7 linked regions of the Callithrix jacchus genome follow. The protein of the gene in region 7 interacts with the protein of the main gene of each other region in a biochemical or structural test. Links are inferred from orthologs where the notes say so. Each region holds a gene or a part of one and is shown on either strand. Other genes may lie near its edges.

The links.
Region 1: the proteins of SNTA1 (region 7) and KCNJ4 interact in a test that uses a peptide from one of them, tested with the Homo sapiens proteins (2 studies listed by BioGRID and IntAct). The link is inferred for Callithrix jacchus from reciprocal best matches to the Homo sapiens genes SNTA1 and KCNJ4.
Region 2: the proteins of SNTA1 (region 7) and SLC16A7 interact in a test that uses a peptide from one of them, tested with the Homo sapiens proteins (3 studies listed by BioGRID and IntAct, with this or other methods). The link is inferred for Callithrix jacchus from reciprocal best matches to the Homo sapiens genes SNTA1 and SLC16A7.
Region 3: the proteins of SNTA1 (region 7) and DGKZ form a complex in vitro, tested with the Homo sapiens proteins (2 studies listed by BioGRID and IntAct, with this or other methods). The link is inferred for Callithrix jacchus from reciprocal best matches to the Homo sapiens genes SNTA1 and DGKZ.
Region 4: of the proteins of SNTA1 (region 7) and MAPK12, one has a biochemical effect on the other in vitro, tested with the Homo sapiens proteins (2 studies listed by BioGRID and IntAct, with this or other methods). The link is inferred for Callithrix jacchus from reciprocal best matches to the Homo sapiens genes SNTA1 and MAPK12.
Region 5: the proteins of SNTA1 (region 7) and WWTR1 interact in a test that uses a peptide from one of them, tested with the Homo sapiens proteins (2 studies listed by IntAct, with this or other methods). The link is inferred for Callithrix jacchus from reciprocal best matches to the Homo sapiens genes SNTA1 and WWTR1.
Region 6: the proteins of SNTA1 (region 7) and SCN5A interact in a test that uses a peptide from one of them, tested with the Homo sapiens proteins (2 studies listed by BioGRID and IntAct). The link is inferred for Callithrix jacchus from reciprocal best matches to the Homo sapiens genes SNTA1 and SCN5A.

The regions. Positions count from the first base shown.
Region 1 is NC_133502.1:209,372,827-209,377,095, forward strand, and holds the start of KCNJ4 (inward rectifier potassium channel 4), read right to left. Parts: upstream 2,801-4,269; 5' UTR 2,777-2,800; intron 1,228-2,776; exon of another isoform or gene 1,100-1,227; intron 1-1,099. UniProt on the Homo sapiens protein: Inward rectifier potassium channels are characterized by a greater tendency to allow potassium to flow into the cell rather than out of it.
Region 2 is NC_133510.1:59,924,620-59,928,589, forward strand, and holds the start of SLC16A7 (monocarboxylate transporter 2), read right to left. Parts: upstream 2,801-3,970; 5' UTR 2,724-2,800; intron 1-2,723. UniProt on the Homo sapiens protein: Proton-coupled monocarboxylate symporter. Catalyzes the rapid transport across the plasma membrane of monocarboxylates such as L-lactate, pyruvate and ketone bodies, acetoacetate, beta-hydroxybutyrate and acetate.
Region 3 is NC_133511.1:111,387,414-111,391,451, forward strand, and holds the start of DGKZ (diacylglycerol kinase zeta), read left to right. Parts: upstream 1-1,238; 5' UTR 1,239-1,324; coding exon 1,325-2,097; intron 2,098-2,404; coding exon 2,405-2,513; intron 2,514-2,766; coding exon 2,767-2,862; intron 2,863-3,114; coding exon 3,115-3,192; intron 3,193-4,038. UniProt on the Homo sapiens protein: Diacylglycerol kinase that converts diacylglycerol/DAG into phosphatidic acid/phosphatidate/PA and regulates the respective levels of these two bioactive lipids.
Region 4 is NC_133502.1:218,838,445-218,842,675, reverse strand, and holds the start of MAPK12 (mitogen-activated protein kinase 12), read left to right. Parts: upstream 1-1,431; 5' UTR 1,432-1,619; coding exon 1,620-1,744; intron 1,745-1,831; coding exon 1,832-1,961; intron 1,962-4,231. UniProt on the Homo sapiens protein: Serine/threonine kinase which acts as an essential component of the MAP kinase signal transduction pathway.
Region 5 is NC_133518.1:35,765,970-35,769,469, reverse strand, and holds part of WWTR1 (WW domain-containing transcription regulator protein 1), read right to left. Parts: intron 1,654-3,500; coding exon 1,520-1,653; intron 127-1,519; coding exon 14-126; intron 1-13. UniProt on the Homo sapiens protein: Transcriptional coactivator which acts as a downstream regulatory target in the Hippo signaling pathway that plays a pivotal role in organ size control and tumor suppression by restricting proliferation and promoting apoptosis.
Region 6 is NC_133518.1:76,457,865-76,461,364, forward strand, and holds part of SCN5A (sodium channel protein type 5 subunit alpha), read right to left. Parts: intron 749-3,500; coding exon 616-748; intron 1-615. UniProt on the Homo sapiens protein: Pore-forming subunit of Nav1.5, a voltage-gated sodium (Nav) channel that directly mediates the depolarizing phase of action potentials in excitable membranes.
Region 7 is NC_133506.1:5,910,538-5,913,397, forward strand, and holds the end of SNTA1 (alpha-1-syntrophin), read left to right. Parts: coding exon 1-12; coding exon of another isoform or gene 13-44; intron 45-1,431; coding exon 1,432-1,619; intron 1,620-1,720; coding exon 1,721-1,813; 3' UTR 1,814-2,360; downstream 2,361-2,860. UniProt on the Homo sapiens protein: Adapter protein that binds to and probably organizes the subcellular localization of a variety of membrane proteins. May link various receptors to the actin cytoskeleton and the extracellular matrix via the dystrophin glycoprotein complex.

The sequences.
Region 1 (4,269 bases), on a different chromosome or scaffold from region 7:
CACCCAGAGATGACAGAGCCGGACCAAACCCTAGTCTCCTGTTCTCCGTCGTTCTCCATAACCCTGAGCTGTCAGGCCTGGGCCCCACACTCTGGGTTGTCAGGGAACCCCCAGCGCCCACGGCTCGGGTTGAGCCAGCTACTTCCTGGCCATCCTGCCACTTCACTCTAGCCCTCTGAGGAGACCGGAGGGAAAGTGCTCCTGCCTCGAGGGTAGTGAGAGGAGAGAACACCTGCAGTTAGACAGCCAGAAGAACTTCCCTGGGAGTCTGGCTATCACTGACTAGACCCAGTGCAGAGAGGAAGAGACTGAGGCACCCCAAAGCCAGGTGGAGAACCTATGAAATCTGAAATCCCTCTGACTCTTCTGAGCCCCAAGGATGTCAGCATAAGAACAGCAACACACAAACCACCGTAAGTGTTTCTCTTCCTTGTGGGCTCGCCCTACACAAAAGGATCCAGTCCCAGCTCCTCAGTGTGGTATAGCCAGGTCCCACCTTAGCCGGCATCCGACATCCCATAAACCAACAGGTACACCCTGATTCCACAGATTCCAGAACACGCCACAGGCCTCTGCACCTCTCTGCCTGCACTCACTGTTCCCCCCTGCCTGAAATGCGCCTAGCACCTTCTTTGCCCTGAGACTCCTTGCTGTTTCCCAAGCCCGGCCTCAGTGCCACTTCCTTGAGAAAGCCACTTGATGACCCCAGCAGAAGTCATTCATTACCCACTCGTTCATTCAGCCAGCGCTAGGCACCCACGACGTACGAGCCCCTGGGCTGGGCACAAGTATGGTTCTTGCTTAGTGGGCTGAGGAGTCAGGCTAAACTAGGCTCAAAAGCACCTGAGAGCTACTTGACCTTGAACATGTTTTTAATTTAGCCTGTCTGTAGATTGAGGACCCTGACGTCCCCCATTCCCCAGAGGCAGATTAAATGAGGTGGATGCCCACAAAATGAGCAGTTCATGGTAGGCGCTCAATACATGTGACCGTCCTTTCTCAGGGATCTTTCTGTGCGGACCTCCACAGCGCACGTCCTGTTCCACGCCTCTCCCTGGTTACTCTGCTGTGTCCTCACAGGCAGACAGCTAGGACTGATGTTCCATCACATGAACGCTCAGTGCGTGGATGCAGGAGAGATTCAAGCAGCCTGAGTGCCCAGTCGGCAACAGATGTGTGCCTGGTCTTTCTCACCCTTTTGCATGGATTGAAAGTGGGAGGATGAAGGTGAGACAAATGACCTGCTTGGCCACAGGCCTGACCTGGTAGCTGTCCTGGGAGTGTGGGGTGCAGGGGGTGGAGGAAGGAGCAGAAAGGAGGGGAACATGGATACAGGGATGTCTGTAGATCCAAAGCATCTTCTCTCACAGGATCAGCCCCCTGATGCCAGGTCCCTAGGCACAAAGTTGAAGATGGGATGGGGGCTCTGGGGCAAGGAGGGTCACCTTTCCAGGCCTGGGCTGTGCCCTGAGGCAGCTGCTCATCCTGCAAGAAGACTGGATTGGGAGGAGGTGGGGAGAGGCAACCAGAGGAGCTCCAGGCAGGGAGAGGTTCAGAGACCCCAGGAAAGAGTCCTTTCTCTCCTCTCCCGCCCTGCGTGACCCTGGGCAGCCCACCTCTCCTTTCTCGGCCTTTGTTTCCTCATATGTCAAGTGGAAAACATAACACCTATTTTGAATATCTGTGTGTGTTTGTTTTTAGTTTGGTTTTTAGATAGGGTCTGGCTCTGTCACCCAGGTTGGAGTGCAGTGCTGCCATCTCTGCTCACTGCAACCTCCGCCTCCCCGGCTTAAACCATCCTCCCACCTCAGCCTCCCGAGTAGCTGGGACCACAGATGTGCGCCACCATGCCCAGCAAATTTTTGTAGAGATGGGGTTTTGTTATGTTGTCCAGGCTGGTCTCAAACTCTTGAGCTCAAGCAATCCGCCTGCCTTTGGCCTCCCAAAGTGCTAGGATTACAGGTGTGAGCCACTGGACCTGGTGGAGCAGCTGTTTTGAGGATAATCAGAGACTAAAGGAAGACTCCACATTGTTCACCTTATGTGAGAGTAGCTTCTAGCCCTGTGTGAGGTGGGGGGTGGAGATGGAAATGGGCATGCAGAGGCCTGGGAGGAATGTGAGGGGGTTGGGGAAAGGCATGGATGTCAGAACCTGTGTGTCCCTGGGAAAGATTCATGTCCTCTCTGGACCTCAGAGGCCTCATCTGTAATGGGACAGTGTGGACTGGGTCTCCCAATGGGCCTTGTCAAGATCCAGCACAGATTCGTCTCCCCGCCATGGAGTGAGGACAACCTGAATCTCCCTCTCTCATGCCCCCAGCTCAGCACTATCCAGACATTGACAGGCATTGTCTCCTTTCATTCTTGCAAGAATGCTGTGCTACAGGCACCTACTACCAATGGGGTAACTGAGGCATGGGGAGTCATGGGATGGGTGGCATGATTGGGGTGGCTGGAAGCAATGGTCTGGAGAAGAGAGGCTCACTCTGAAGTTTAGAGGGGAATGCTGGTGAAGCCTCTGTCCGTCCATACACTTTGGCAATGTGTCCTGCCCATCTCCTCTCTGTTCTCTCCCTTGATCCTCACAAGAGCTCTATGGGGTATGGGCTATGCGTGTCTTTACCCCACAGGTGAGGACCCTGAACTAACACTCAGAGAGGGGAAGGGCTTGTCTGGGGTCAATCAGGCAGTAAGCAGCTGTCTGGGCCAGGATTTGAACCAGGCTCAGCTCTCACTTTCTAGGGGAAAGGTCATTCCAGGCTAGCAGAGTACTCACCAACCAGCTCACTCTGGGGGACTTCTCATGCCTTCTGGGTCCGACAGCAGCCCTGAGAGCCCATGTGGAGGGCGGAGAGGAGCGGAAGGGAGGGCGACTTGGGACTGGCAGGTGGACAGCTGAGGAGGAAAAGGAAAAGGCCACTTCAAAATGCTAGAGTCACAGAGTCCAGAGGTTTTTGGCCTAGAGAGTGTCTTAAAGTCCAGCCAGGGCTGGGTGTGGTGGCTCATGCCTGTAATCCCAGCACTTTGGGAGGCGGAGGTGGGCAGATCACTTATCGCTTGCGGCCAGGAATTTGAGGCCAGCCTGGCTAACATGGTGAAAACCTGTCTCTACTAAAAATACAAAAATTAGCCAGACATTGTGGCGCACACCTGTAATCCCAGCTACTCAGAGGCTGAGGCAGGAGAATCACTTGAATCTGGGAGGAGGTGGACGTTGCAGTGTGCCAAGATCTTGCCACTGTGCTCCAGCCTGGGCTACAGAGCAAGATTCTGTCTCAAAAAAAGAAAAAAGTCCAGCCAGCCCATTCTGCAGATGAGGCAAACTGAGGAAGTCCAACTGCTTAGATTAGAAATCAGATCAGGACACACCCTTGGAGCTCTAAAATCCCAGCAGCTCCCAGGTGGTAAGGTCCAGAGGCAATTAAAGGGTCACTGGGAGGGCAGAGGGCCAGAATCCATCCCAGCAGGCTGTGCCCTGGGGACAGAGGACTGTAGGGGTCTCTCCTGCCCTCCACCTCCACCCTCGCCCACCCCCCAGCACTCAGTAGTCACCAGGGTGGAATATTTTAGCACCTATAGAAAAACCGCCACAGACGGCCGTGGCAGCTGTTGCTAAGGAGACGCTCCCAAAATAGCCCCCCTCCGCCAACCTTTCCCGCTGCTGCTCCTGCTGTGGGGAGGGGAGGAGACCAGGCAGGGAGGGGGTGGCACATGAGTCCTCGCCCCAGGTTCACCCACCCACCCTGGCCCCTGGTGCCCACTCTGGCCCAAGACACAGGTCTATGGAAGGGCAGGAGCTGTCCCATGCGTGCCTGTGACCTCAGCCACAGTCCTCAGCTGGGGAAGAAGGTCACTCAGGTGATAGGAGATGGGGGAGAAAAAGCCCCCACACCCAGGACCCCTCAGCACACTCCCACACATACACGATCACAGGTTCTCCTAGTTCTCTACATCCACTTGTGCACACCACAAGTACAATCCCACGCATGCCCACCGAGGGGCATGCACACATCAGCAAAGACATTAGATGCACGGGTAAACATGTGTCACAAGTACACATCCACCTGCCAACAAATGCCATGAAGCCATGAATACATGTTTTTACATCCATGTAGTCACAATCCATCCCAAATACACACGTACACCAATATACGCATGCCAGGCACACGGACACACACACACACACCCTCCTGGCACATGGACACACATATTCACAGATACAACTGTCCCAACACAAACCCAGCATGTGGCATCTAAAGGGCAGTCAGT
Region 2 (3,970 bases), on a different chromosome or scaffold from region 7:
TGAGTAGCTGGGATTACAGGCAGGTGCCACCATGCCCAGCTAATTTTTTGTATTTTTAGTAGAGACGGGGTTTCACCATGTTGACCAGGATGGTCTCGATCTCTTGACCTCGTGATTCACCCGCCTCGGCCTCCCAAAGTGCTGGGATTACAGGCGTGAGCCACCGCACCCAGCCCAAGAATCACTCTTAATGCACTAAAAAAAAAAAAAAAAAAAAAAAAAAAAAACAGCTGAATACAGGTTCCTGAGAAAAGACACTCTTTTCAAATTTGCCTTTTAGCAGATCTTACCAACATTTCTTACAACTGTGAAATTCCTTTCATGTTATTTGGGATATATGTTTCTTCCATTAAGAAGAGGGAAAAAAATGGACTAAAAGGCAAATGGGATATAAGAAAGATTATCCTGGATAACTGACTATACAATAATTTCTTGAGAACAGAATTCCAGCATCATTCATCTTGGTAACCGTGGTAGGGTATCTAGAATGATTATAAGGGCTCAAAAATAGCCAGTCTGTATTCTAGGTATTTACTATACACTTTATTCTCTCCAGTGGCACTTCTGGTGGGTACTACCAATCTCATTCTATAGATAAGAAAAAAGTAAAGCCCAGATTGTTAAACAATTACTTAATCTTACAAAAGTGCAGAATCTGTTCTTAAGTTAATTCCCTTTTTTCATGTGAATGACTCAAAAATATTTGGTGAGTGAATACAGAATTAAAAGCAAATTCTGGAGATGCCTTTTATTTCAGATCCATGATCCAGGAATACGACTCTAACCAAAGGAGATTTCTTTAGGTAATGTTGCCCTTCTTCCCTTTAAAAGAGCTCAAAGCCAAAACTATAATCCAGACACCATCAAAGAGCAAATGAATGTCTAGAAATAAACTGAGCATTTATAGAAGGATACACTAATTTGGACATTGGAAAACAGGTGTTAAAATTTCAGATCACTTGTTATTAAAACACTCCTTGGGGGGAAAAGGTAGCATATAACTGCACACTGTTGATGTGAATATTTGCAAAAAGTAGTTTCTGACTTTGTGAGTTGTTACACAATATACTGAGTTGCTTAAGGTTATAATCTTTCCTTTCCACTGAGATCATTCACTTGGATTGCTTCAAATGTAATGTGCTCGGTCAGAAGTAGAAACTGGAGTTAGGATTGCTTCACCAGGGCTAAATATTACTCACTTTGCTCAAACCTCATTTGTCCTCTGCAGCCCCCACCCAACTCTCATTTTTCAGCTACACTCCACCAGATGCATACTTAGTGCTTGTGGTTCCAATGACACAACACATTCAAGCTAACCTGTCTGTGGAAAGTTTGCAACCCTCTGAGTTCAGACGGGGGTTAGCCATGAAGCATAGGGTGCCAGGAAACAGCATTTGTAGTCAGTCACTCTTTTCTCTTGTCCAGTCTTTTTCACATCACCTTCATCTTTGCCCGCTATTTTATTCCTCTGCTGCGTCTCCTTTGGGACTCGTGGGGGAAGGAGGACATGAAATAATAGCTTTCCTAATAATGCCACTAACCAGCCCTCACTCAACGCAGCCTAGTGCTACTTACTTCTCCAGGAAAGGGCACCAAAAAAACAATTGTAAAGAAACCACTCCTCGTTTCCTCTTCTGTGTCTCGTGTGTGTGTGTGTGTGTGTGTGCGCGCGCGCGCGCGCGCGTCCGTATGCGCGCACGCATGTGTGTGTGAAATTTTAATTTCCCTGGAATCGGAACTACAGAAGTCCCTCCTCAGCCCTACTGGGAAAGAGGCATTGGGCATGACCGCCCTATCCAAGGCAGGCTGCAATCCTTTTCACAGAAGTAGAGGAGAAAAGGGGTGGAGAAGGGCGCTACGATGCAGCATCCGTAGAGAAAACAGGCAGTTCGCACGTGAGCGGGCTCCCAGCCTGCGGCGCCACCTGACCTCCTGGCGCCCCCAGTGTGGCGCAGTGGCCCAGGAAACGCAGCAGGCGCAGGCCCTCCTGGACCCCTGCCAAGTCAGCGCTCCGCTTCTGCCTGGGCTCAGGCCTCGCCCGCATACACTTTTCCATCTGCCTCCACCCCTGCCATCCTTCTTGGGGACCGAAAATGAAGGAAGATGAACGCCCCCACACCTCCCTTTCCCCCCGGTATTTCATCTTCCCCTCCCAGCCTCTTCGTGTCCTGATCATCTGCTCAAAGAGAAGACGTTCTCCACAAACACTCTCACCACCCCCGTCTCCACTTTCTGCGGCACTGAAGCCAAGCCATCTCAGGGGGCTCGGGGCCGGACACTGGCGGGGCGCGCCTTAGGGACTCGCCGCACTGGAAGCAGCCCTTGTAATCCCGTGAGCTGAAGGGACTGGCGAGCACCGCGCCACGCCGAGTCTCGGTGCGAAAGCCGGGAGCGTGGGCACCTCCTGGCCAAAAGCTCGCGGGGCGCTTCTGGCCGGGGACCCCGCGCGCCCCCGGCAGCTCCCGGCCAGCTGTCCGCGCGCACTGGCTGACGCGAGCTCTCCTCCCGCGGCCGCTTCGGGGTTTTTTGTCTATATAAGGGCTCGCTGGCCAACTCTGCGTTGGCACGTTTGTCGCAGGCTGGCCATTATTTGCACACACACACACGCGTGCGGCTCAGCGGGAAGCGGGTCGCAGACGCACGTTCGCCCTCCTCTTCGCCGGCGCCTCCGCCTGCTCCTCCTCCTCCTCCTCCTCCCTCCCTCCCTCTCCGGCTGTACTTACTTTATCTGGTCTCTGGAGCAGGGTGGGCGCTGCAGTCCTCGGTTCCCCGCAAGCCGCAGCCGGTTGGCCTCGCTGTCAACGGGTGAATGGAATTATTTATTTATTTATGGCCCCTGACGTGTCCTCGCCCGCCACAACCAGCGGAGGAGGAGGCGGCGGCGGCGGGAAGGGGAGGCCCGGCTGCTAAACGCCCTCGTGGGTGCGGAGGAGCGCGCGCCAGGGGTGGGGGCCAGGGTGGGGGCCAGGCAGGCGGCGGTGGAGGCCGGCCCGGGGGGTGGTGAGGGGGGAGTCGCCTCCCGGTGCCTGGAGACCGACTGAGCATGCTCCAAGCGGCTGTCAAAGCTATAGGCACTTTCTCTATGGCTCGGGGTATTCCACTTCGGATTTTAGATTTGACCAAGGGAGAAAGCCAAAAAGGCAGGTAGATCTGTCATTCCAGATGGGTCGTGACTTGCCATATCCGAAGTACTCTGTAGCCTGACCTAGAAGTCAGATGTGCGGTAGCTCTGTCTAGATATCCCAGGCAGTTGTGCACCCCATGCATGAGAGAGGAAAGCATGCAAAAAGAGAAGAGTTTGGCCGAATGCAGGGAAAACAGGAGATCCTCAATTGTGAGCTTGCAGGAAAAGTGTTGAGCCATTTTTCAACTCTGGCCTTTTTGAAAGAAAGAGGTGGGGCACTGTTAGAGATTAGACTCACCAACCAAATAACTCGACGGAAAAAAATAAAACTGACACCATAAGAGGAAAGGCATAGAAAACGGCATCAAAAGACTTTTAAAATAATTTTCAAATTATTTATAAGTAATTTATTTCATTTTTAGTTTCCCAAATTACTTAATTCTCCAAAATAGCATTTAGTTATTTTACAATGAATAGTGCTAGAGACAATGGTAATTCTGCAATCGTTTGGTTTGGTCTCTTCCCCTGTCTAACATATGCTTCTTGGGAAAGTTGGAAAGAGGAAGGGCTGAAGTGAACATTTAAGCAACATTAAAGACTGGGTTTCTTTAATATCTTTAAATTGAATTGCCACTTAGAGAAAAAGAAACGATCCAAAAGAATAATTGTAGGTTTTGAATTGACAACTTCTATTGCCGTTTGTCTACCAGTTTAACTAGCTTTCTCCTCCTTGATTTCACAATAATCCTTTTAGATGTGTTCCATGATTCTTCACATTTTACGAATTTAGAAACAGAGTTACGTCATTTGGATAAATTCACATTTTCTTTTGACACAGCTAGTCTG
Region 3 (4,038 bases), on a different chromosome or scaffold from region 7:
TGTCCAGGGCATCACCCACCATGCCTAACTAAATGCCAGCCTTCAGCGGGCCAGCCCTGGGCAGCACTGTCCCAGGGCTGTGACCTTAACCTCCATGGCTGTCAGGGGCTAGGATGCATTCCCCACCAGTCTCTGCCCAAGAGAACACCTGCTGTGGGGCACAGGTGGCCCCTGGTACCTGGAGGCATTGCCACCCTGAACCATGCCAGGTGGGCTGCCCTTCCCCCACTTTTAGGAGAGGTGAGGGCATAGGAGCCAAATGCCGGCTGTGAAGAAGGGAAGGGAGGGTGGAAGTGAGCTGGCAGAGGGAGCAGAGCATGAGTTCAAGATGGGTCCAGGGAGGTCCGGTCCAGGTGAGAGCTAGGATGAGGCCCATGGCTCCTGCCTCCCTGCAGGAGGGAGCTCTCGGCTGGGCAGCGTTTGGAATTGAGAGTATTGAGGCTTCTAGCATCAGGGCTGCAGAAGAATGTGCAGTCCCAGGCTCCCTCAGCAGCAGAGCCAGAAGGGTTTCCTGGCATCACCCAGCACTTTGCCCTGGGGTATCCATACTTTGCCCCTTCAGAAAGGTAAGACAGAGAAGTTAAGCACCAGAGATACAGGCACACACACACACCCAGATCCAGAAGGCTTTGCTTTTGACCCAAGCCTATTGTTTCGGCCCCATGGGTGAAAAAGTCTGAGCAGTCCCTCTCCTAGGTGAGCCAGACAGCGGCTCTCCAGTTCCCTGAGACCGTCTTCCCTGAGCCACACATTAGACCCTCTCTACTTCCAGGAGTCACCCTCAGCCTGACCCCAAGGTGACTCTGGGGGTCCTGTCAGGACTGAGTTCCTTTGCAGAGCCTCGTTTTGTTATCATAGCTTGGTTTGCGCCATGTCCCAGGAGGGGACACCTAACCTGCCCCATACTGGTGGCAAAACAAAGGCCCGGCGAGTGGGCAGTCCTGCCCGGGGCCCCGCCTTCCATCCAGGCAGACCAACTCCCACTTTTCTTTTTTTCTTTTCCATCAGCTTCCGGTGGGGCAGGTGGAGGCCTTTAGGCCTGGGGCTCTGTGGTTCATGGTGCCTGGACAGGTGAAGAAGGGGTAGCCTGAAGCACCTAAGACTCCAGGGCTCCCCAGGGTACAGTGGGGGAGAGCATCAGCACCCCAACAGCTATAAACGTGGGCTCCTCTGAGGACCCCTGGGACCCTCGAGCACCCCACACCTGAAGGTCAGAGGCTGCAGTGACCCCTTCCTCCCTCAGGGGTTGCGTCCCTCCTCATGGAGCAGAGGCTTTGACTGGGCTCCTGGACACAGGACAGACCATGGCCTGGTCCAGCTCCTGATGCCCCTGGTCTCTGTGCCCAACAGCCATCTGCCTGCCATGGAGACCTTCTTTAGGAGACATTTCCAGTGGAAGGTGCCAGGCCCCGGAGAGGGGCATCGGCGGCCCAGCGGCGTGGGGCTGCCCACGGGCAAGGTTCGGCGTCGCTCCCCCGCTGGGCAGGCCTCCTCCTCACTGGCACAGCGGCGCCGCTCCAGCGCCCAGCTCCAGGGGTGCCTCCTGAGCTGTGGGGTGAGGGCCCGGGTTTCCAGCCGCCGGCGCTCCAGCACCGTGCCCCCTTCCTGCAACCCCCGCCTCATCGTGGATGAGGTGCCCACTCCACAGCCTACCACTGTGGGGGCCCAGCTTCTGGGCGCACCCCTGCTGTTGGCTGGGCTTGTGGGCATGAATGAAGAGGAGGAGAAGGGTGTCCAGGAGGATGTGGCAGCTGGGGCATCAAGCGCCATCCAGCCAGGCACCAAGACACCAGGGCCACCCCTATTCCGGGGCACCAGGCCACTGTTGCCCCTGCCCCGATGCCTGCGCCGAGCCTCCTCCCACCTGCTCCCCGCGGATGCCGTATATGACCATGCACTCTGGGGCCTGCACGGCTACTATCGGCGCCTCAGCCAGCGGCGGCCCTCAGGCCAGCACCCTGCCCCTGGGGGCCGAAGAGCCTCAGGCACCACCGCCGGCACCATGCTGCCCACCCGTGTGCGCCCACTCTCCCGCAGGCGCCAGGTAGCCCTACGGCGCAAGGCGGCCGCACCCCAGGCCTGGAGCGCCCTGCTCGCGTAGGTATAGCGGCGGCTAGCATGGCGAGTGGTGTGACCTCCTGCGGGTCTGGCCTGGGCAAGGGCCTTGAAGCTCTGCCTGGCCAAGGGTTCCTCCCCACTTGGGAACACTCTGGGCAGTGCCACGAAGCCAGCGCACCCCAAAAGGCCGTGTCTCCTGCAGGGAGTTTCTCAGTGTCTGGGTCTTCTGGGAGGTCCTCCACCCTCCCTGTCACCAAGGTCATGGAGAGGACAGAGGCCCCAGGAGTGGGAGGAAATTGGGTCAGCAAGTGCTCAGCCCCCTCCTCAGCTGTCTTCTCCCCTGTAGGAAAGCCATCACCAAGTCTGGCCTCCAGCACCTGGCTCCCCCTCCGCCCACCCCTGGGGCCCCGTGCAGCGAGTCAGAAAGGCAGATCCGGAGCACAGTGGACTGGAGCGTGAGTGCCTACATAACCATGGGTCCCAGCCCCACTGGACTCTGGGCCATGGCGCAGTTGGAGGGCAGAGGCACAGCAGGCAGCTGGGAGAGCGAAGCCTGGAAGGGTGGACAGTCGGGCAGATGGGACAGAGCAGGGTTGATCCAGGCTCTGGAGCGGGTTTGTCTTGGGAGAAGGTGGTGGGTGGGCAGGGGCTGATGGGAGGGAGGGCTGGGCGGCCAGCATGCACTGAGCAAGCCTATCCGGTGGCTAGGAGTCAGCAACGTATGGGGAGCACATCTGGTTCGAGACCAACGTGTCAGGGGATTTCTGCTACGTGGGAGAGCAGTACTGTGTAGCCAGGATGCTGGTGAGTGCTCGCTGGGACACGCTGCCCCCTGCTGGCAGAGCTAGCACCCGCAGCCCTTCTGGGAAGGTGGGATGGAGCCCTCTCCCTACCACCCCTGCAGTGGATCACCCCAGGATGGTGAGAGGTGCAGGGGCTTTTTCCAGAGGCCAGGACTGGGCTTCCCAGTGCACACAGAGGGCAGCTGTGCTGGGGCAGGCAGCCTCCAGGATAGACTTACTGGTGCCTCAGGGGCCCTCTCCTCTTGTCCTGCAGCAGAAGTCAGTGTCTCGGAGAAAGTGCGCAGCCTGCAAGATTGTGGTGCACACACCCTGCATCGAGCAGCTGGAGAAGGTGGGTGGGTAGCTCAGCTTTTGCCTGCCCCTGCCCATTGGGTGCTGAGGCCCTTGCTGTGTGCCCACACACCCACACGTTATACAAATGTGGCCTGCCAGGAGCAACCCAGCACTCAGGGGTGAAGAGTCAAGGACCCTGGAGCCAAATGCCTGCAATCGAATCCTGGCTCCTCACTTACTAGCTGCTGCATCCCCACTGCCTAGAAGAAACGTAGCACAGAGTGGGTTCATTGAATATCACTCGATGAGATGAATTGTCAAATCATGCATGGCCCTTGTACCATTTCAATATGTCCAAACTAGACCTTAGAAGAGGCCAGTGGTTTGCTGAAGCTTCATAACTCCGCTGTGGCTGGCGGCGGAGGGGGATACCCTACACCCTGCCTCTGTGGAGACCTTTTCCCAAGGGCCATTGTCCACTATGCATCTGCAGCTGGGGGCACGTCTGAATACTGTGCTTCTAGAGGGAGGTGGGGGCAGCACTGGGCAGGCAGGTCAAGGCCAGGGGTAGGAGAGTTTGTGTGGAAGGGCAGGGCTCCCCAGCCTGCAGCAACCCAGACCAGCATACAGGAGAGACTGTAAGACCAGGCGTGGCTCGAGCAAGGCTCACACGGGCTGCTTTTCCCAGCCCCTGAATCGTAAATTGAGGTGTCCTTATACCTGTAATAAGACTGAAGTAGGGTCACTTAGAAGGGAAGTAGAAACGCAGCCCGAAGCATTGCACACTCATCTCAGGTGGAAATCCAGCTAGGGTTCAACAAATTAGCTAAAGGTCTCCAGGGACCAGGCAGCACAAATCTGCGTGTGAGGACCAGGCTGGCTGCATGTGCCAGGTTGGGAGTGC
Region 4 (4,231 bases), on a different chromosome or scaffold from region 7:
CATGCTGGGTCAGGCAGCATCTCTGGGGGCCAGGGACAGCCTGTGCCCCTTGCCTGGGTCTTGGATGGGGGGTGGAAATCATCTGGGAGTTGGGGGCCTCCTGGGGCCTAGTCAGTGTAGTGTTCAGTCCTGGGGAAGTCCAGTGTTGGGGTGTGGGGGAGCAGAATGGGGACACAGCCCCACCTCAGATGCCTGGTCTGTGTGGGGCCTGCTGGACCCCTGAGCCCCACCATGAGGAGTGAGGGGGACAGCAGTGGAAGCAGGGCTTCCTGGAAGACGTGGATGGAGTGCCACAGGCAGCCCAGGGCACAAAGGTTGCAGGCCACAGCCAGTTGTGGTTTGGGTAGCCCCGGGCTACCCCGGCTCACTGGTCACCAGCTGGTGAATGCCGCAGACAGCCGGAAGCCCAGGTGTAAAGCTACTCCCACCCTTGAGCGGCTGAGCTGCTGATTCATGGCAGGAGGGCGGGCGGGGGGCCCTAGGGAACTTGTTACCCACCAACCCAGTGGGTTCCAGGGGTGCACCCCCCATCCTTCCTGAGACCCAGATCACTGGGCTGGGGAAGGGGTGTCAGGGTGGGGCTTTTCACTCTGAAGCATCTGGTCCAGGATGGAGCCAGACCGATGGGAGGATGATGCCCACACGGAGGGGACAGGCTGAGGGCCCAGCAGGTCCTCGTCCCTGTAGGAGAGAGTGCAGCCATGAGCTTTGCAGGACGGAACAGGCAGGGGTGGGACAGGCAGATGCACTGACACTTGCAATGCGTGGAACAAGCACCCCACAGAGGAGAGAAGGGGAGGAGCTGGGGGTGCAGGAGGGCCCACGGGGACCTATGGGACTGGGAGGCCCAGGGTCAGTGGCCACAGCAGTGGGGTTGGGCATGCAGCTTGAGGAGTCTGGGAGACAGGGACGCAGGCAGGACAGGTGCAGGTGGACCCCACGTGCGGGGACAATGGTCAGGCACAGCGGCAGGGTATCCTTGGGGGTGAACCTGGGAACACAGGGCTCAGCCCAGGGAACTCAGGGCAGGGGGACAGTGACTTGCAGCTGCAGACCCAAGTCGGTTCTCAGGCTGTCACGGATGGGCCTGGAACTGTGGGGAGTAAGGACTGGAGCCCGGCGGGGATCCTGCTGAGAACGCCCCTCCTCACCCCCCAAGGCAGGGAAGTTCAGCCAAAGGGCAGAGGCTGGCATGGGTATCTCCGCGCCGCGTCCAGCCCTAGGTCCGGACAAAGCTGCGGGGCGGCGCTCCCCTCCCCCTGCGCTTCCCCCCAGGCTCCGGCCCTCCCCCGGCGGCGGCCGCCTCGGGTTTCCGGAGGGGCCGGAGGGCGGGCGAGGGCGTCACGTGCGCGCGGCCCGCGGGCCGGTTGGTCCCCGGGCGGGGGAGGGGCCGTGCGCTGCCTGGGTCGGGGCTGGGGTCGGGCAGGGGTTGGCACCTGGGACATCCCTGCGGGAAGAGCCGGGAGCAGGAGCGCCCCAGCGGCGGGCGGGCGGGCGGGCGGACAAGCCGCGCGGAGCGGGCCCGGGGCGCGCGCCGAGGGAGCCCCGCCGATCCCGGGTTACCGGTCCTGGGGGAACCGCCCGCGGGCTCTGCGGAGTGGGCGGCTCCCGGGCCTGCCATGAGCTCTCCGCCGCCCGCCCGCAGTGGCTTTTACCGCCAGGAGGTGACCAAGACGGCCTGGGAGGTGCGCGTCGTGTACCGGGACCTGCAGCCCGTGGGCTCGGGCGCCTATGGCGCGGTGTGGTGAGCGCGGGCCGGGTGGGGCGGCCGGCGGGGCGGGCGGGGCCTGCGCGGGGTGCCCGGCCTTCCCGCTAAGCGTGTGCCCCGCAGCTCCGCGGTGGACAGCCGCACCAGCGCCAAGGTGGCCATCAAGAAGCTGTACCGGCCCTTCCAGTCCGAGCTGTTCGCCAAGCGCGCCTACCGGGAGCTGCGCCTGCTCAAGCACATGCGCCACGAGAACGTGAGTCGCGCGGCCCCGCTCCGGGAAGGCGCCGCACCACGGCTCGGCTCGGCTTCCCCACCCAGCGACGCCCCCTCAGCAGGCGGCTGCGGGGCGGGGCGGGGACCGGGCCGTGGATCCCCAGGGGAGGAGGAGAGCAGGGCTCAGCCCCCGTCTTCTCTGCCAGCCCCGGGAAGGACTCACCCCCTCAACTCCGCGCCTCAGCCAGGCCCTGGTCAGGGGACACGAGTTGGCCAGGCTCAGGGATTCTCCAGCTCTCATGCCAAACCCTGCCCCCAGCCAGGAAGCCCGTGGTGAGAGGACGCTCCCAGTGGGCCGATTTTCCTGGAAGGGGCACCTCCCCTCTTTCCCATCCGGACCCCTCTCCAGCTCCTCTGTGGAGCCCACTCTGTTGCGGTCCATTTCCCGAGTCTTCTGACCCAGCGGGGGGCGAGGGGGGCGCGTCCAGAACGTAGGGAGTGTTGGACCCTCAGGAGCCCCTGGGGGTGCAGGGTGTAGGGAGCTGGGGTTTGGGGGCCACTGGGTGCGGTGGCCATCACACAGACACCCTCCCGTTCCTTGGGTGGTGGTGGGGGCCCATCCTTTCCAGCCCTGCCCATGAGATGCACAGCTGCCCTGGGCCTCTCTCATGGCTGTGGCTGGCTGTTGAAAGCCCTACCTTTCTGCCAGGGGCGCTCCCGTTTCTGGACACAGTTCCACTTGTTCACTGCCCCCCACGTCACTCCTGCCCTGCCATTTGAGCTCCTGGACCCTAGCTTCAGGGTCACACGCTCTGGACCCTCCTGGGTCATCCAAGCCACCAGCGCCCTGGGAGAACGAGTCCCTGCGTCCACCAGCAGACTGCCCCCACCACTCCCTCAGCCCTTGAGTGGGTGCTTTTCTCTGAGGCTTCCCATGCCCACCCTGACCCCAGCTCACCCCCCTGGCCCTGTGAAGCCCCTTTGTGGTGGACAGCAGTACCGCCGCCATCTCACCACCTCCCAAGTCACACCCAGGCCTTGTCCCAGGAGTGTACCCGCCCCCACCCTTGGTTTTATCCAGCTCCTCCCCTGCAGCCCCCTGGCCCCACCCACCCACTCACCTGTCTGTTCCTTGCCCCTGTCCAGCCAAGAGCCCCGGGCTTTTCTTTTTTCTCTGGAGACTTGTTGCCCAGGCTTGAGTGCAATGGTGAAATCTTGGCTCATCGAAACATCTGCCTCCCTGGTTCAAGCAACTCTCCTGCCTCAGCCTCCCAAGTAGCTGGGACTACAGGCACGCGCCACCACACCCAGCGGGGGATTTTGTATTTTTAGTAGAGCTGGGGTTTCACCATGTTAGGCTGGTCTGGAACTTCCAACCTCAGGTGATCCGCCCACCTTGGCCTCCCAGAGTGCTGGGATGACAGATGTGAGCCACCACGCCCAGCCACCAGGGCTTTTCTGTAGTCACTGCTCGCTGTGCCTGTGGGTCCACCCCCTGGGCTCCTGGCCTGCAGCTTCGGCTCTTCCCCTGGAACGCCATCATCCTGGGAGACTAAGGGTTTGCAAGGCCATGTGCCTTGCTCAGCTGGGGAGGAGGCTCTGGCACAGGCCCCAGTCCTGACGTTTCCAGGCGGGCCCCCATACCACAGAGGCCAAATCCATCCATCTGATGGCCCCAAGCCCACAGGACCCTGTTCTCCGTCGTGGGCTAAACCACTCTCCCAGGCACCCTCCAGCTCTCATGACTGCAGTCCCGGCTGCTCCCAGGCCTCCCTAGACCTCGCCCCACCCACCGTTCCTTCTCTTTCCACACTCTTGCCCTCAGCTCTGGCCCACGTGGCTACAGTGGAGCTGTCCTTCCAGCTTGTGCCCATTCTTGCCTCACTCCGGCTGGTCCCTATACCACAGCCAGGACACATTTAGCATCACACCCCTGTTTAAATCCTTCCCTGTCTCTTGGGATCAAAGCCAAACCTTCACCTGGTGTGTGCTTCCTGCCGGCTCCCTCTGGCCTCTCCTCAGCCCCTCCCTGGCCTGGGCCTCGGCCACCTGGCCTCCCTCCCTTTGTTCCTCAAACTCTCCCAGTGTTTTCCCTCCTGCCTCGGCTACTCTGTGTGTGCCCTCTGCCAGTTTCCCTCTGTCCACACGTCCACCTGCTCCTCTGTCCTTGGCTATGCAAAACTCCAGGCCTCTCTGGGACCCTGGAGGCCCTGTCACCCCAAAATGCTGAGGTGGCAGTTATCTTATGACCTGTCCACTGTCCGTCTCCCCAACCAGGGGCGTTGTGGGGACCAGGTCTGACTGGTCACG
Region 5 (3,500 bases), on a different chromosome or scaffold from region 7:
GCTTTGCTCCTACCTGTATCCATCTCATCCACGTTGCTAAGGAAGTCCTCTGGAGTTGTGGGGACACTGTAGCACCCTAACCCCAGGCCACTGTCAGTGCTCTGCTCCCTCGAATGATATGGTCCTCTGCAGAGCAAAAGATGGAGAAACTTCAACGTTAGCCCACTAAGTAAGTCTCAAAATTAAAACAAAGTCACAAAAGCTCTAAACTAGTGTAATTGTGCCATTCTGCCCAACTTTCCAGGTTGGGCAGGACAGAAAGCTGACTCTGATTCCCTTTAATTTTAAAATGTATAAACTCATGAAAATGAAAGTAATCATGTGTGGTCATTCACAATAAATTGACATTGAATTCCTTTTCACCACAAATTAACCATTTGAACACTCTTCTACATACAGAGTATGACACCATTTATGTAAGACTTTTTAAAAACCAGAAACAATGTTGAATGTTGCTTATGGATACACACACTGACAGGCAGTAAGAGCTATAAAAATCTATGTGATGGACACACACCACTTTCTGAACAAAAGGAACAAAAGGGAACAAAAGGGAAAAGAAATAAAATTTCAGTGGTTGGGGGATGAATTCAAATACTAATTATAATCTTTATTTATTAAAAATAAGATTGGATGAAAATATGGCAAATCTGGGTAATGGGTACATGGGTAACTCATGTTATCCTTTCTACTTTTCTGTATTTCAAATACTTTAAAATCAGCAACTTAAAAATTCCATTACTTATTATTTCAGCTACTGTTTGTTTTTATCTCTATCTTTAATAATTTTCATAATTGTATTTGTTTCCTTACCAGATGTTCCTGCAAGGGCCGAAGAAAAGACATAGGAAATAGAGCACTGCCCTTTTAATTTGATTTAAAACCTACTTCGGCTCATGAAGGTATTTCTGGCTAAATTCTCTTTCTCTTTTGCTCCTTTGTTTTAATTACTTTTTAAATTGTGAAATAGTTTTAAACTCACATAGAAGATGCAACAGGAGTATAGAGAATTCCCATGTACCCTTCCTTCACCAGCTTCCCCAGTGATAACATCTTACATAACCATAGTGCAATTACCAAAACCAGACTGTAGAATACTATTAAGTAAACTATAGACCTTACTCACATTTCACCCTGAACATCACATCATCTTAATTGTTCTGTTCTCAATTTGCCATACAGCATGCTTTTATCCCCATTGGTTACATAAAACCACAAGATTCTTCCAAGTACAAGTACTAGACAACACCATCGTGTTTAAATTATAGGTTCACGCCCATTTTCAAATTCTTAACTAGGGATTTACTCTGTATTATATCACCAATTTTTAAATTTGGGAATTTTAAAAAAATGTAGATGATTTTCCCTGCTTTACTTTTTTCTGCCAGCTCCTCCCACTTCCTTTCTTTATTCTCACCCTCCACCCTCAAGCTCCCCACCTCTTCCTAATGTAAACAAAGATCCTACTATAGTCTAATATGAAGAGAGCAAAATACGTGTGCCCCAAATGTTAACTTACCCATTGAGGAAAGGATCTGAGCTATTATTAGTGATGGATCTCATGTCTGGGGTCATGGCGGGCGGATTGACAGCAGCCTGAACTGGGGCAAGAGTCTCAGCTTCCATGGGGAGCTGTCGACAGAGGGCAGCTTCCTATAGAAGGAACAACAGAGTGGGAAGCAAGAGTCATTCACTCATTGTCACAAACCATGAGCAGAGTGTACTTCACATCAAAACTTTTCACCAAATATTTACTCCAAGTTAAAATCACCAGGCAACCATTAGTATTCTTTCTCTGAAGAAAGTCTTACAGACTAAATCACTTCACATTCACAAAGTTAATGGGAAGCTCAGCTATTATCTGACCTAAGGGCACTTAATGTTGCAATCATCCCACCCGTGCAATTATTTAAGCACCCAAATCATAGAAAGTCCTCTCAAAACACTTTCTCAGAGACAAGGCTATTTCTATCTCAGGTTCTCAAACCAAATTTACATCAGTCAAAGCAATCAGACTCCTCTGGACTATAAGGTACATTCTGGTCTTTGCCACTTACAGGCCAATAAAACTGTGGGATTAGAGTCCAGGCTCTAAACTGCATCTGGCATTTTTATGGTTACAGGTAGGAAAGCAAAACAATGAGTTGAAAAGTTTGCTTTAAAAAAGTCAATCAGTGGCCAGGCATGGTGGCTCATGGCCATAATCCCAGAACTTTGGAAGGTCAATGTGGGCGGATCACTGGAGCCCAGAAATTCAAGACCAGCCTGGGCAACATGGTGAAATGCTGTCTTTACAACAAATACAAAAATTAGCTGGGCATGGTGCTACTTGGGAGGCTGAGGTAGGAGGATCTCTCATGCCTGAGAGGTTGAGACTAAAGTGAGCAGAGATCACACCGCTGCACTCCAGCCTGGGTGACAAGTGAGATCCTGTCTCAAAAAAAAAAAAAAAAAAAAGTCGATCTATTTGACTACTTTGTGGACTAAAATTCTGGAGCTGGGGAGCCATGTAGATCCAATCCAAATTCCACAGACAAGTAACTATTTCATAGCATACGATTTTATTAGCAAAAACAAATAATACAAGCATTATTTTATAAAAACTAGCATTACGTTGCCAAGGAGAGTCAATCCAAAAGGTTGCAAATTTACTGACTGCAATTATTTCTCTAGGTGTAATCTCCAGGAGTCTCTCCATTTTCACAAACACGACCAGACATCAAATTCCTTTCAAATTTGCTGCTGTTTCCAGAAAAGAATACTTTTGTATGTTTACACTTGCATCCCAAACCAAGGTTAGGCCTTTCCCCATATTTATGCCTATCAGTTTCCCACTTTCCATGCTGAAGTCATTGGTCTCACCATCCCTCAAACCCTAAAACCATGGCTACAATGGCAAACAGAACACTTAGGACTTCTAAGTTATAGTATCTTTGTTAGATCTCTTCTAGCCCTAACATGCTGTGACTTCAGAGCGTAAATGCTGTCTAGACAAGTCCTGGTGAGGTCATCGGCTATAAAAATTTTCAGTTACTAGAGTTCATTGTGCTGCTACAAACCATGAGAGACCTGATTGATTTTTTTTTTAACTGTACTGTTTACTTATACTGAAATAAATCTTCTAGCTGGAAAGGGTCTCTGGCTCACTTCTGTTCATCTAGATCGTAAATAATCAAAATACCTAACAAACACATTTTATTCAGGAATCTATAAAAAGCAAACTGAAAAACATGGAGTTTTTTTGGTAAAAAGATTTCAACCATCATCTAAATCTTGGAAGTGCCTTCTGAATAAACCTAGAAAAATCAATTTATTTTCTGATAGTTGTTTTTAACATGACAGGCAAGGTGCATTAGAAATGTTATTATCCAGCCAAAGTTCTCCTGAAAGGCTCAGAAGGAACGACAGGGATTGAATCTGACATAAAAGCCTGGACCCCAGCAGTCCCCATCCCTCATGCATACTTACACACCCTGAGCCACAGTTTGAAAATTGTATCT
Region 6 (3,500 bases), on a different chromosome or scaffold from region 7:
ATCTTCAGGGGAGGACAGGCTGAAAACGATGAGACAATAATGGGGACAGGCAAGTTCAGACACAAGGACACCTGCGACAGAATGGGAGGGACAGACGTGGACATCTGGGATGTGTCAGGATAAAGGGAGGGGGTGCCAAGGACAGGCTGGAAAAGATGAGAATCCCTCCGGGACAGGAGGGAACACCGGGATGGGGGTGCAAGTTCAGACTAGACAGGTGTGAAGTTGCCCATGGTGGGAATGGCTGGAATAGTGTGAACTAGATATGGGAATAGCTTAGAACAGGCACGGGTGTGTTCAGGACAGGATGGTTCTAGACAGACGTGGTTATAGATGGGAGATGGTGGAATGGGACTGATAAGTGCCTAGGACAGGTCACATGTGGGAGTGTTGGAGGGAAACACAGACATGGTAACTCCCAGGGAAGAACAAGCTGAAACAGATGAAAAGACATGTGAGGACAGGCAGGGCTGCGCAGGACAGAGAAGGCTGGGACAGTGTGGGGATACCCAAGGCAGGCCAAGTCCAATGGCAGATGCCTGGGTCAGGCTGGGATAAAGGTGAGGGCACCTGCAGCAGAAGCGGGGAGTGTTTAAATGTCCTGGGGGTGCTGACCTTCCAGTGCGCTGGTGAGGACACTGACTGCGCTGAGGGCCCGCTGCCGTGCTTCTGGCTCCTCGAAGCCATCTACACACGGAGCCTGAGGGGTCAGCATCCGGGGCCCGCCTGGCTCCTCCGATGGCGTGGTCTGAGTGCAATCAGGAGATTTGCGTCAGCCTGGGGAAATGGGGAAAGGGGTCCTGCCCCCAGCTCTAGTCCTGCTGGACCTGGGGTGGCCAGTCCAGACTCAGGCTGGGGATGCCACAGGGATAGGATGCAGGTCTTGATGGGACACTGAATGCTGGGCTTCTCTATTCCCAACTCCCTCCCAGTTAACAGCTCCCTCCCCACTCCTGCCAATCACTGTCTCCTTCATTCTCCTTTCTTCTTCACTGCCTCTCATCAGCAGTGATTCCTGAGTGTGGTCAGGAAGCTGCACATCTCATAGGGCCTCCCTGAGCCAGATGCTGTCATACACATTAGTACACGCAAAAATGATGTGGAAGTCTTAATTGACCACAAGCTTCCTAGAGTCAAGAGCAGAAAGAAGCTGAAAAAAACAAAAACCTAACATGTTCTAAGAGGATGCTAATAGAAGGACAAGGTGCAATGCTTCCACGTGGCTGGTGGGAGGCTGTGTCTTCTGGGGAGGCAGTTAGGCTGGATTTACCAAGAAAAGTTTAAATTGGCCCTCCAAGTCCTCACCTAGCAATCTAACTTCATAAATAATTACACACGTGCATCAAAAATACACATAAAGGATGTTCATTGCAGCACTGTTCCTAATACCATAAGAACAGAAAACAACCAATCAATAGCAACCATATTAAAATCAATTACAGACACACTCCAAGCCTGGGCTCAGATCGACTACAAAGAGAACGAGGCAGTTCTGTGTATGCTCCCATGGGAACATCTCCAAGACAAACAGTTTGATGAAAAAAACAAGAAAAAGATCTGGAAAATGCATGCCAAATAATTAAGGTGGACATATCTGGGGAACGGGACTGTGGGGGAGGGGAAGAGAGGGAGGCGTTCCCTCTCCACTTCATGTGCTTCTGCACCGGGGGTTTGTTTTCATCATGCATGCACCATTTCTATCAGTAAAAAACCTGAGGTCTGGAGACAGCCCTGGTGAAGAGAGGTGGCAGGCAGGCATTCTCCAGACTTACCTGGAGCCTCCCACAAAACCAAGGAGGGCCCATAAAGTCTTCACTTCAGCAGGGCTCTGCATGACCACAGCCCAGGTGCCAAGCTGTTCAGCATGCAAGACTGTAATCTTTGTAGGGCAGAGGGAAGATGGGTCTAGACTACCCAGGGTAGAAGAAACAGGGTGTGGGGTGGTACCAGATAGATCTGGGCTCAAGTTAAGGACATCCTGGCCATCAGTAGGACTGCTCTGAAATGTTGCCTAGGGAGGTAGTGAGCTCCCAGTGATGGAAGTATTCAAGTGGAGGCCCCCGAGAGGGCAGAGGTGGCTGGTGCAATGGTACTGCCCCAGGTCCAATGCAACCATAAATTTAGCCAGCTTAAGTCACAAGCATGTCTTACATTTTTCCAACCTCTCCCCTCCTTTGCCATCTGTGACGGTTTGGTTATCCCTTAGCACATATGCACTCTCTTTCCCTTCCCACCAGGGCTGAATTAAACTTCCGTGTCCCGGGCATGAACAACTTGCTTTGGACAACAGAATATTAGTGAACATGCTGTGAACAGAAACCTCAGCTGGGCTAGTGCAGTTTATCTTGCTCTTGTGCTCCAGGAACCCTCCATGAAAAGAGCTTTCCAGATAGCTGTCACCCTTTCAGCCTGGGCCTCAGAACAAAGACTCGCGGAGCAGCCCTGAGCCTAACTTACAACATGGAACCAAGCCCAGCCAGCATGCAGTCTGAAGCAGGGCTGCCCAGCTAACCTAACCTACATGGGCCACATTGTAGCCAACCTGCAGATGAATGAGCATGAGAATAAAGTCTTGTTGCTAGAGATTGACTTCTGGGGTAGTCTGTTACACAGCACTACTGTGACAACAGCTGACTAATACACCATCTTAGTCCAGTGGTCAGCATCTCTCTTCCCAAACCCTGCAACAGTCTCCTAACTGGCTTCTTGTCACTCTAGTCCCTCGATTCTCTGCATAGTAGGAAGGGATTCCTTTACAAAGTAAATCAGATAATGTCACACCTCTGTTCAACAACTCCTTCTACCCTACTGCTCCCCCTCTTACTCAAAGTATATCCAAACTTTTCTATGATCTACAAGGTCCTGCACAGCCCAAGTCCTAACTCATGAAACTCATTTTAATGTTTGTACCACACGTGGCCCTATTAGCCCCTCTCACCCCTTGGATGTGTCCCCCTCAGGGGCTTTGCACTTGCTACTCCCTCTGCCTGAATGCTATTCCTCTACATTTTAGGGCTGGCTCCCTACAATCTTTTGCCTGTCAATTTTAACTTACCTCCTCAGGAAGGCCTTTCCCGGGTATTCTAAAAGCCTCATCCCCATCCTCCTCTTAGCAACTTTCCATCACATGACTTACTACTACCTGAAAGTACTGACTAGTTTACTGTTTTCCCAACTATGGTATAAACTCCGAGGGGAACAGGGATCTCGTCTTCTCCGTTCCCTGCTATAACCCTGGAGTCTCAGCACTGCCTGGCATTCCACATGGCAGGCTGGCACTAGATAAATACTGGTTGGATAGGTAAATTCTTGGGAATCCATCAGAACGCTTGGGTTAGAGTTCCAGCTCTGGTCCTAACTTGCTAGGTGACCACAGGGAATGTGGAGGGAGAAGAGGAATGGATCTTCAGTGTGCTGCTTCTACCTTTATCTGGCCTTCTGGAAACAGGCACTCTCATACAAGCAGAGGGCTAAGTCAGTCTTCAGCCCCTCCCCCCATC
Region 7 (2,860 bases):
AGGTGTCTACAGGTGTGCTGGGAGGATCTGGGAGTGTCCCTCTGGTAATGAGCCTCTTCTCCTCAGGGACATTCAAGCTTCCTTCTTTAGGGCACTTCAGACAGGAAATGGGGTTTGGAGGTCAAGGTGGGTGGATCATCTGAGGTCAGGAGTTCGAGACTAGCCTGGCCAACATGGCAAAACCCCGTCTCTACTAGTAATACAAAAATTGGCTGGGTGTGGTGGCTCACACCTGTAATCTCAGCACTTTGGGAGGCTGAGGCGGGTGGATCACTTGAGATCAGCAGTTCAAGACCAGCTTGGCCAAATGGTGAAACCCCGTCTCTACTAAAAATATAAAAATTAGGTCAGGCGCGGTGACTCACGCCTGTAATCCCAGATACTTAGGAAGCTGAGACAGGAGAATTGCTTGGACCTGAGAGGCGGAGGCTGCAGTGAGCTGAGATCACACCACTGCACTCCAGCCTGGGCGGCAGAGCAACAGTCCATCTCAAAAAACAAAACAAACAAATAGAAATTAGCCAGCCATGATGGAACACACCTGTCATCTCAGCCACTTGGGAGGATGGGGCAGGAGAATTGCTTTAATCCTGGAGGTAGAGGTTGTAGTTAGCCCACATAGCCCCACTTCACTCCAGCCTGGGTGACAGAGCAAGATTCGGTCTCAAAAAACAAAATAAAACCAAACAAAACCCCAAACATTAGCTGAGCATGGTAGCAGGTGCCTATAGTCCCAGCTACTTGGGAGGCTGAGGCACAAGAATTACTTGGGAGGTAGAGGTTGTGGTGAGCCAAGATCACACCCACTACACTCCAGCCTGGGTGACAGTGAGATTGTTCCTCAAAAAAAAAGAAACCAACGTTGGGTTTGGGCCTCTGTTTTGGATGTGCAGGTGCCCTGGTAGGCAGAGACTCTTCTCCCTGGGGTTTTCTTGCCCCAGCTTTGTCCATCTGCTGAGGATGTGAGAGATGGCACTTGGGGTAGGGCTGCCAGATGAAATACAGGACACCCAGCTACATTTGAATTTCAAGTTAACAATGAATACTTTTTTCATAGAACTATGCCCAAATTAGTCATTGCTTATCTGAAATTTAAATTTAGCTGGGCAACTCTGCAAGTCTCCAAGGGTGGTGCTTGGTAGATCTGATGATGCCTTTATCAGGAGTGAGCCTCCTGTCCATGACAGATTTTAAGCTCCCCCCTTTATACTGTAGTGCTGCTGGAAGTGGGGCTGGAAGTGGGTATAGGTCCTCTGAGGGTGGGGGTGGTGACTCTCTGCAGGATGGGTATACAGGTGCCACAACAAACAGTGATCCTACCATACATGGAGGCATTTAGGCCCCACTTTGTGACGCTGCGGTGGGGGTTGGAGGTTGGGGTGTGGTCTCTGAGGTGCCAGCTATGCCTGTACCTACGTGCCCCTCCTGCAGCCTGCACGTGGAACGGGCGTCCCTGCAGCCTGTCTGTGCACATCGACAAGGGCTTCACACTGTGGGCGGCTGAGCCAGGGGCAGCCCGAGCTGTGCTCCTGCGACAACCCTTCGAGAAGCTGCAGATGTCTTCAGATGATGGCGCCAGTCTCCTTTTCCTGGACTTTGGGGGTGCTGAAGGCGAGATCGTGAGTGAAGGGCAGCCTCTGTACCCTGGGGAGGAGGGGGTGTGCACTCTTGGAAGCCAGGCTGGCCAGGGCCCTGACTCTTCTCTCCATCCACCCTGCAGCAGCTGGACCTCCACTCGTGTCCCAAAACCATAGTCTTCATCATCCACTCCTTCCTCTCGGCCAAAGTCACCCGCCTTGGGCTCTTGGCCTAGAAGTCGCCGGATGCACTAGCCCTGAAGAGGGGTGTCTATAACATGGCCTGAGCTGGGCCTCCACCGAATGCCTGCTCGCCCCTGGGCTGACAGAAGGGAGAGGAGAGGAACGAGGTTCCTCAGAGACCCCGCCCCTGAGGGAGGCTGGATTGGTCTTGGGGCCCAGGACCCAGACCCAGGACAGAGTGGACCCTGCCTGTGATGGGGTAGCCTTCCTGCTGCCCCCCTCCACTAGTGCCTTTTGCAGAGAGATATTTTGTGTACACAGAAGCCATTCCAAGCCTGGGACCTGCCCCTGTGTGGATCCTGACCCCAGCCAACAGCTGAGCTGCCAGGCCTCCTTGAGGCCCCTAAGCCACCCCCAGAGGTCCCATCTGAAGCTGGAATACCTGGGGTCAGCGGCAAGAGAAAGAAGAGGAGCCTTTCTGTTTGTTTTTCCCCTTAGCTCCGCCACCTTGGGGAGTCTGGTTTTTCTCTTCATCCTTTCTCTCTCCTCCTTACTCTTGGATAAATAAATAGCCTGTGAGCATACAGGCAGCCTGGCCCAGTGTCTGTGGTCTGTGCCTTGGCCTTTGGGCCCTGGGGTGGCCCCTGCAGTCCCAAGATGGACCAGACCAAGGACCGGGGCACCTTTCCCTGGAGAAGAACAGACCTTCACCACAGGGCCAAAGAGAGTGTATTGGTTATTTATTTTTGTGTGACAAATTACCCCAAATTTAGCAGACAAATGACCCTGAATTTTGCAGCTTAAAATGACAAATATTCATTATGTCCTAGGTTCTGTGGGTCAGGAATTTGGGAGGGGCTAAGCTGGGCTGTTCTTGTCTCAGAGTTGCTCATGAGGTTGCAGTCAAGTTGTCGGCCAGGGCTGCAGTCATCTGAAGGCTTGACTGGGGTCGGAGGATCCATTCCAATACTGCTTATGGTCATGAGGTCTCAGTGCCTCACCATGCAGGCCTAACCCTAGAGCTGCTGCTTGAGTCTTCTCATGATATGGCAGTTGGCTTTCCCCACAGTGAGACAGAAGATAGAGCAAGGAGGAAGCCA